Linked DNA regions of Nothobranchius furzeri. The protein of the gene in region 2 interacts with the protein of the main gene of each other region in a pairwise test. Links are inferred from orthologs where the notes say so. Each region holds a gene or a part of one and is shown on either strand. Other genes may lie near its edges.

Evidence for each region. The genes of interacting proteins can lie anywhere in the genome.
Region 1: the proteins of glutamate decarboxylase 1 (region 2) and haao interact in a two-hybrid assay, tested with the Homo sapiens proteins (4 studies listed by BioGRID and IntAct). The two-hybrid records come from large-scale screens. The link is inferred for Nothobranchius furzeri from reciprocal best matches to the Homo sapiens genes GAD1 and HAAO.

What each region holds. Positions count from the first base shown.
Region 1 is NC_091752.1:7,587,306-7,591,583, reverse strand, and holds the start of haao (3-hydroxyanthranilate 3,4-dioxygenase), read left to right. Parts: upstream 1-1,446; 5' UTR 1,447-1,535; coding exon 1,536-1,624; intron 1,625-1,808; coding exon 1,809-1,887; intron 1,888-3,409; coding exon 3,410-3,493; intron 3,494-4,278. Other genes in the region: papolg (poly(A) polymerase gamma), read right to left, coding at 236-252. UniProt on the Homo sapiens protein: Catalyzes the oxidative ring opening of 3-hydroxyanthranilate to 2-amino-3-carboxymuconate semialdehyde, which spontaneously cyclizes to quinolinate.
Region 2 is NC_091754.1:20,477,814-20,481,467, forward strand, and holds part of glutamate decarboxylase 1, read left to right. Parts: intron 1-24; coding exon 25-180; intron 181-412; coding exon 413-655; intron 656-742; coding exon 743-833; intron 834-3,598; coding exon 3,599-3,654.

The DNA of each region.
Region 1 (4,278 bases), on a different chromosome or scaffold from region 2:
GACCCTTAAAGAGCTGACATTTTTATGAACAAAAACTTAAACGTGGCATTTTCTAATTATTAAAAACGATTTAAGTCGAGTTTTACCCGAGCCAAACAAGATAAGTAGCATACGGTGGCTGCAGGCCATGTTGTGACAGTTGGCTAACATTAGCTTTTAGCCTATTCTTCAGGTCCATCTCTACCGCGAACAAGAAAAGCTTTTAAGTCCAAAACGAACCACATGCCTGACTTACCTTGACATTTCTTTCATGACACTCTAAAAAGCTTGCACCTTTTGCTGTAAATCCGTAAAAAAGTAAGAAAGTCAGCAAGTAGGAATGATAGCAGCCTTGACCTGATTTCAACAATGGTCACTTTCCAGGGAGAACAGTTCAAACCTTCCCACTGAACCGGAATCACTACTTATAAGACAACGAATCCGACCGAAATCCCAGGAGAAAATTCATATCCAAACCATCACCAAAACCACCGGGAATTTTTGTTAGTAGCGGAAAGCTCAAGTTTATTAGCTGTTACGAGTTATTTTTAGATCCCAAACTACAAATGTAACGGTGTTTTGTTGAACGTCTGCGCGCACCACGCTGAAGCACCGCCGTCAAGACGCACCGCCTCGCCGAGGCCGCATATCACGTGACCACAGCGGCCTGCTGGCTGTTACACAACCGGACCCAAAAAAGATGCAATTCCACAGCTGTACCACAAGAGGGCATCACCACAAAACACATAAACACCTTTGCCTTGAGCAACATAAAACATTCCCACATAACAGAATAAAAAAAAGATTTAAAGATAAAAAAAACTTCCATTTACTACATAATGGTTTGGCCATGGCATCAAGTACTTTTTGATATAAAAGGATAAGAATTTAAACAGAAAAACAAAACAGACATTGACAGAGTGCATCTTTTTCATGTTTCATTTCAAGTGAAACATTAAAACACACGTAAGGTAAAACTCATTGTTTATAAAGTATTACAGGAAAATTGTCTTTCTATATATAATATGTTCAGTTATTACCACAATTAGTAATCAATTATATACCAAGAAAATAGCAGTTTTAAACACGTCCTGTTTGGTAACAGGGGAGCTGGTTATTACAGTCTTCCATGCAATTCCAAGGTGCACGTTAGCTCATATTCTCTTTTCTTGTGATTCGCATTAGCCTTTACCTCCAAGTAAAACATATCAACTCATAGTTTACATGTTTTAGGCTTGTTTGTGATGAATCATAAAAGGAGTAGTATTTTAATCATTTATTGAGATAAATACAGTTTGAATTCAGGGAATATTTCACCCAGAAACTTTCTTCTGCTTTTGGCTGCATATGTAGTTGTTGAAAAGGACTCTTGTCTAGAGTCCCACAGGGCACCTTTGTTACTTATTATGAAAGTGAAGGTGACCTTTCACCTCTGCAAACAAAAACAGCTCCTCCCTCCTGAGCTTTCAGCAGCTTCTGCATTTTGGACTTTGAGTGCATTCACACTTTAACATCAGCTTCCAGGGTTTGATCATTCCAAATTAAATATTTAAAACATGAACGTATCACCTCTCCAGGTCAGCGTGAAAAACTGGATTACAGAGAATCAGGATGATTTTCTGCCACCAGTTTGCAACAAACTCATGTGAGTGACTTGATTCTTTTATTAGCTGAGATTAACGTGGATTTCTTTCTACTAACGGGGATCTTTCATCTGTTGTGCAGTTTGAAATATTTGTAATAGTTTCGTAGCTTTTGCACAAATTTCACATGAACAGCCTTGGTCATGCCGAGGCAACATGGCTGATTTTATTTCCTCTTTTTCTCAGGCACTTTTCCCAGTTGCTCATCATGTTTGTTGGAGGTCCTAACACCAGGAAGGACTATCACATAGAAGAAGGGGAAGAGGTAAGAGACAAATATCTACTGAACTGCTTCAATCATGTTGATTTAAAGGTGAAATATGGAACATATTAATAAAAAGCTATATTATTAAAAAAGCTCCACGGGTGCTTAGAGGCGTGCAGAGTGAATGTTCAGTTTTTCCTTTAAAAGCTAAATTAAAAAAATCAATTTTTAATTTTGTCTGCACGACACTGGGTTCATGTTTACATCTAGCAGCCACTAGAGGGCATCATAGTGCTAAAAAGTCCGCTCGGCAAGGCGAGGCTGGGGCTGCGTAAAAGGGACTTGACTACCCAAGCGGCTGGTTCTGAGCCCAAAAGATGTTCTAACGGTAAATATTGTCGTAAAGTAAATGTATTAGTAGAAATTAGTCCTTACCCTGTACGATTTGTCACTGAACACGGTGCTGGCTGGTCACTTAAAGAGCGAGTAATGCCTAAATTAACTTTTTTTTTGCAGCTAACCTGTATAGATGATGGTGCTGCACACATGTGTAATCATTAGTGTGACACTTTAGTGCAACTTACTTTAAATGTAATATTTCAGCCCAAAATCTCATTTATAACTATCTTCAGGTTAAAACTCTGCTCCACATTTATGTAGAACCAGCTGTAGCTGATGGCTAAGCAGAAAAACGTGACGTCAGCAAAAAACTACGCGGCTGCACCGCACTGGTCTCCAGGTGAGGCAGCTGCACCTCCACCTGGCTCAGCCACTCACCTGCCGATGTGACACGTTAGCGCTCTGAGCCGCTCGCCACCTTGAAAAAAAAAAGCCCTCCTCCCCTTTTCATCTATTGATCCTGGTTAACAAGAAATCCTCCAGAATGCTGCAGAATCTGTGTCTGCTTTTTTCCTGAGCGGTAAGTCTTATGTGAGTGTGCTTGCGTGCACGCTCGAGGGTGCATGCGCTGGTTAACAACTCGTTTTTAGATTGAAAAACTCTGACAGCATGTGCGCGCGGGGGTGTGGGTGTGGGGGTCTACCATTGTCTCAGTGCCGCTCTCTCGATCCGCCCACGGCGACGCCTTTTTCAGAAGCGATTTTCTAACGGGAAGTGTGGAGGAAATACGTCTCCACCCAGGCCTTGACCCTCACTTTAATGTGTCAGCAGCGAACCAACACCCCCCACGGCTGGAAAATGTTTTCTATTGTTGCACTGCCACCTCTAGACACTAGATGTCGCCAGAGTTTCCGTGTTCCATATTCAACCTTTAACTTCTGTTGACCTTTTATTCCCACTTCAGTGGATTATTTATTATCTTTTCTGCATTATCAGGTCAAACTCCACCAAACTGGTTTAGGCCCAGTGTGTGGAACACTTGATGTTCTTAGTACAAAAATACAGAACCAGCTGAAATCCACGTGAAACAGGCCTTTTAGGGGTTGTACGAATTATTTTTTGTAGTTTTTAGAAAGAGAACTTTTATATTGACTATGGAAATAAACCAAACACAGTTTCCTCTAGTAAACATCTAGGAGTAGCATCTAACCCCATGTCTCCATCTGCTCTTCTCTTTAAGTAGTTGTTCTTCCAGCTGAAGGGGGACATGTGCCTGAAGGTGGTAGAAAATGGTGAACACAAGGATGTGCACATCAAAGAGGGAGAGGTGAGCTTTGAGGTTTAGGGTAAAACGGTCACTTTTACGGATTTCTAGGTCATTCTGGGTGAAACTCCAGGTGGCTGCTTTAGGTTAAGGGGTCGGTCACCTTTTCACAATGTGCCACTTTGGTTTGAAAACCACATTTAGAATTTAACCCATTTGTGCCCACATTTTTTTCAGTCTTAATGCATATCATTTTATCAGTTAAGTCCCTCTGAATCATGTTATATAATATTTTTTTCAATTATATACTGTTTTTGGGAAGAGAATGGCATATTTATGACTGGCAACTATTGTTGCCAGTGGTCACACAGCTTGTCAGTAGGTGAAATGTCACCTAATAATAGGAATAGAGAAGTAATAATAGTGTCGTTAGGGTTAGTTTTTCCTCGCACCAATGCAAACCCCCCCCCCCCCACACACACACACACATACACACCTGTAACCTCACCCATGCATCCCACAAACAGGACACTGCTCTGTTATTTTGGCGCACCTCACTGCAGCAATACCTCCCCCAATGGCTGTTCAAGGCCCAGCCCTGGTCATAACAAGGTAATAGCCTAATAGTATTGTCATAGAAATAAGAAAGGACTCAGGTTCCCCTGTATGAAATTCAAAACAAGACACAACTGTTTCCTTTATTCACATTTTTAAAACTCAAAATCACAACAAACATGTTTTTTAGAACATTTAACACATATTTATGTATATGACATAGTTCCCACACAATCCATCATTTGGTATGGATGTACTACTCAGTGTGGTGCTTTTTGAAGCACTCCACATGT
Region 2 (3,654 bases):
CCCCGGACTCCTCTCCGTCTCTAGGATTCCTGCAGAAGAACAACAGTTTGGAGGAGAGGAGCAGGATCGTGAGCTCCATCAAGGAGCGCGCGACCAAAGATCTGCTGTCCTGCGATAACACCGGAGGGGACGCGCGGTTTAAGCGCATAGAGACCGACTTCTCCAATTTGTATGCCAGAGGTAGGGCCAGAGAAATGCTAACTTGTTGCCTTTCATTTGATTTTTTTTAGATAAATGCCTCCAAATGTGTGAAAATTACAGTCTGAGTTTAAAGAAAAGGCCCCACATAAATAAAAAATAAGATAAATGGGAATTATTTATGAAATAAATGAAAGAAATAAAAAAGCAAGCAAAAATAATAAAAAAAATAACTACAGGAGACAAATTATTAGAATATTTGATTCTTTTATAGAGCTTTTGCCTGCCAAAAATGGAGAAGAGCCCACCATGCAGTTCCTGCTGGAGGTGGTGGAAATCCTCACCAGCTACATCAAGAAGACTTTTGACAAATCCACCAAGGTCCTTGACTTCCACTATCCTCACCAGCTGCTGGAGGGCATAGAGGGCTTCAGTCTGGAGCTGCCCGACCAGCCCGAGTCTCTGGAGCAGATCCTGGTGGACTGCAGGGACACCCTGAAATATGGCGTGAGAACAGGTAGGGTATACCTACTGATGAATAACTAACTCCTGGTTATCTCACAGCTGTGTTTTTTCTGAGGGTTTGACTCTGTATCAATCCCAGGCCACCCCAGGTTCTTTAACCAGCTGTCTACTGGAATAGACATCGTGGGATTGGCGGGAGAGTGGCTCACTTCCACAGCCAACACAAACATGTGAGTAGAAATCACAGCCGATCAGCTCTTATTTGTTTTTCAGCTCGGAGGAACACTTACAGTGTCATGTAGTAATTACTGTCCTCGGTTGGAAAAGAAAAACGCTCTAAAAGGCTGTCAGTCAAACAAGGAAATAAAGAACACAAAGCAGGACATCGGGGCAGACACACCCCGGTTCAGTGTTGTCGATATACACGACTGTTGGGAGGTGGGTGCATAACTCAGCCCTGCAGGGAAACTAAATTGCATATTGATTAGCATTCAGAGTTTACACGGTGTCTTTGTTTCGTGTTATGAGAGCTCCTGTGATATAACACAGACAGGAAGGAGCTTCCATATTTGGAAGATAGGAGCAGAATTTATTAATAGGATGTAAAATCTGTTTATTGCCTTATTTTGTCTCATTCTGCAGGATAGGCATCTCATTTTGGGAATCTGGAGCTCCCAAATTTGGGAAATGAGAGATATCACAAATAAATTCCATAAAGATCAATCAACCTATGAATGTTTGCAGACACTAAAAATCATTTAATTTGGATAACATGCAGAGAATCAAAGCATTGTAATATTTTGTTGTTGCTCATTAAATAAAACACCCATCAGTTCATTAGTCAATAATCTATTAAGGGCTCGTTGGAAAGGAGCAGATACTTCACCATAAACTAAATTTATTTGCAACATTTTTTTTATCGTGGCTGAAAGTTGATGAAGGGTTTTCTCATTGAGCCTCTTTAAAAGGCTGTTTGTCACCACTAATGCGTTCATTGATATGTAATCAGTGATTTACTAGTTATTTACAGGTTGTAAACTTCCATGAGAAATCCTGGATTTTCTGTTTTAATCGAAGGCAGTGGAAACTCACGTGATCTAATCATGGGTCATGGAGTTTGCATGGCTGCTGGACAGGTTTTAGGATGTAAACGCCTCGTCCATCCTGTGAGTCATTTGGGTTGTTGTGTAAATGAGGTATTGCATCACATGAATGCTTTTTGGGATGGGTGCAACCCAGCCACCTCACCTTCTCAGTGTTTTTCCATTTGTCTTCTCTGCACAACATGTGAACTTACTTTCCTCGAAAGGAGCTTGGCTTATCTCTGAGATGGATACCATTATTTTTGGAATCTTTGGTGCATAGACCTTATTCTGTGCTTCAACTGGGCTGGCATTGCGTACCGGGACTTTTTTGTGTTGCTTTTACAACCACATATCTGTCAAAATCTTTAAAATTATTATAAAATGTCCGTCTCCAGGTAAACAACAACTGTCCACAGTCCAACCCACTCTTCCAACGGGCCATTCCCATCTGTGCCTGGTCGGCCCTGCCTGGATAGCTCCAGTCGGCCCCAGCCTGGCCTGGCTGATTCCACACATCCTTGCTTAGGTATGCAAGGAATGTAGTCATTTCAGCTTCTAGGTAATCAGCATGATAATGAATTGAGCATGCCTTAAGCACATGTGGGCTGATTCTACCCACCAATCAGAGGCTTGCTCTACTGAAAGGTTTGAATTTGCTGACTGATTAGCTGGCTTATCAGTCAGCAGTGGGGGGTGTTGACCCTGGTCAGCCTGAAGCAGACCACCTCAGAAAGAGGGCTGAAAAACAGTCTCGTTGCACCCTGAAAAAAGGCAGGCCACCAAGATATGTAAGCAACCTATGCTATCCGGGCCGGGCTGACCAGGTACAAGATGGGAATGGCCCACTAACAGAAGTTCCCCTGCTTGTACAACCTGCCCCCCCCCCCCCCCCCCCCCAAAAAAAAAATTACGCCCTTGCTCGACCTCATGCGCAACCCAACTCTCAGGAAAAATCGTAGAATTGTGGAGTATTGTGATTTTTCCCAAAAAAGACTTGTAACCCCTGAAACTCTGGACTCATGATCACATCTAGAGGGGCATTTCAGGTGAGAGGTTCAAGAGTCTGATTGGTCTTCGCAGAAGTGACCTGAAACAGATTGGTTGGTCATCAAGATTTTTTCTCCTGCAAGTTTTAATTGTTCCCTTCCTCCAACCCACCTGAGCCAAATGATTAAATCGTCTTATCAGCCAGTTCTATAGAATTTAATGAGGCATCCATTTAAATCAGGTGTTCTGGACATGCAGGACAGTGGACATTGAGGAACACAGATTTTGGGACCAACAAAACTGTTACCTTTTATGAGCATCACAGTGGATGACTTGAACACGTGGGAGGTTTTTTCCACTAATTAATCTTTATTAATTAGTGCATCAGCCCTAATTATCTCAGCTGATATTGACTGACACTGATAGGCCCTCAGTCACATCCACGCTTTACATGATCAGACTTATCTGAATGAGAGCACTGAAGTAACATTTGACATCTGTGGGGTGAATTCTGACTTGTTTACTTTGGTCCTGCATGTGATGCACAATGCAGCACGCTGGGATCATCTTGTTCTTTTGCTCCCTTTGCATAAATAAACCAGAAAATAAAAAGAATGTTTATGTAGAGGTGATGCTCATGCAGTTTCTGCTTTATGAAGATAAAAAATAAATTACGGCACATGGTTTTGTGAGCCCAGCAGCAGGCCATTATTCTAGAACAACTTTTATGAAGGGAATTATTTTAAAGTGTGCATATTGTTGGTATTTATTGGGTCTCAGAGAGTAAAGAAATATACTTTGTTGAATAATTATGTAACTTTCAGTGAGTTAAGTGTGCATCAAGACAATAAGCAGGATTCAACAAAATAAGCACAGAAAGTTGAGATTTACATTTCACAGTTTGGTTATTTTGTCTGTTTTAGGTTTACATATGAGATTGCCCCAGTTTTTGTGCTGATGGAGCAGCTGACGCTCAAAA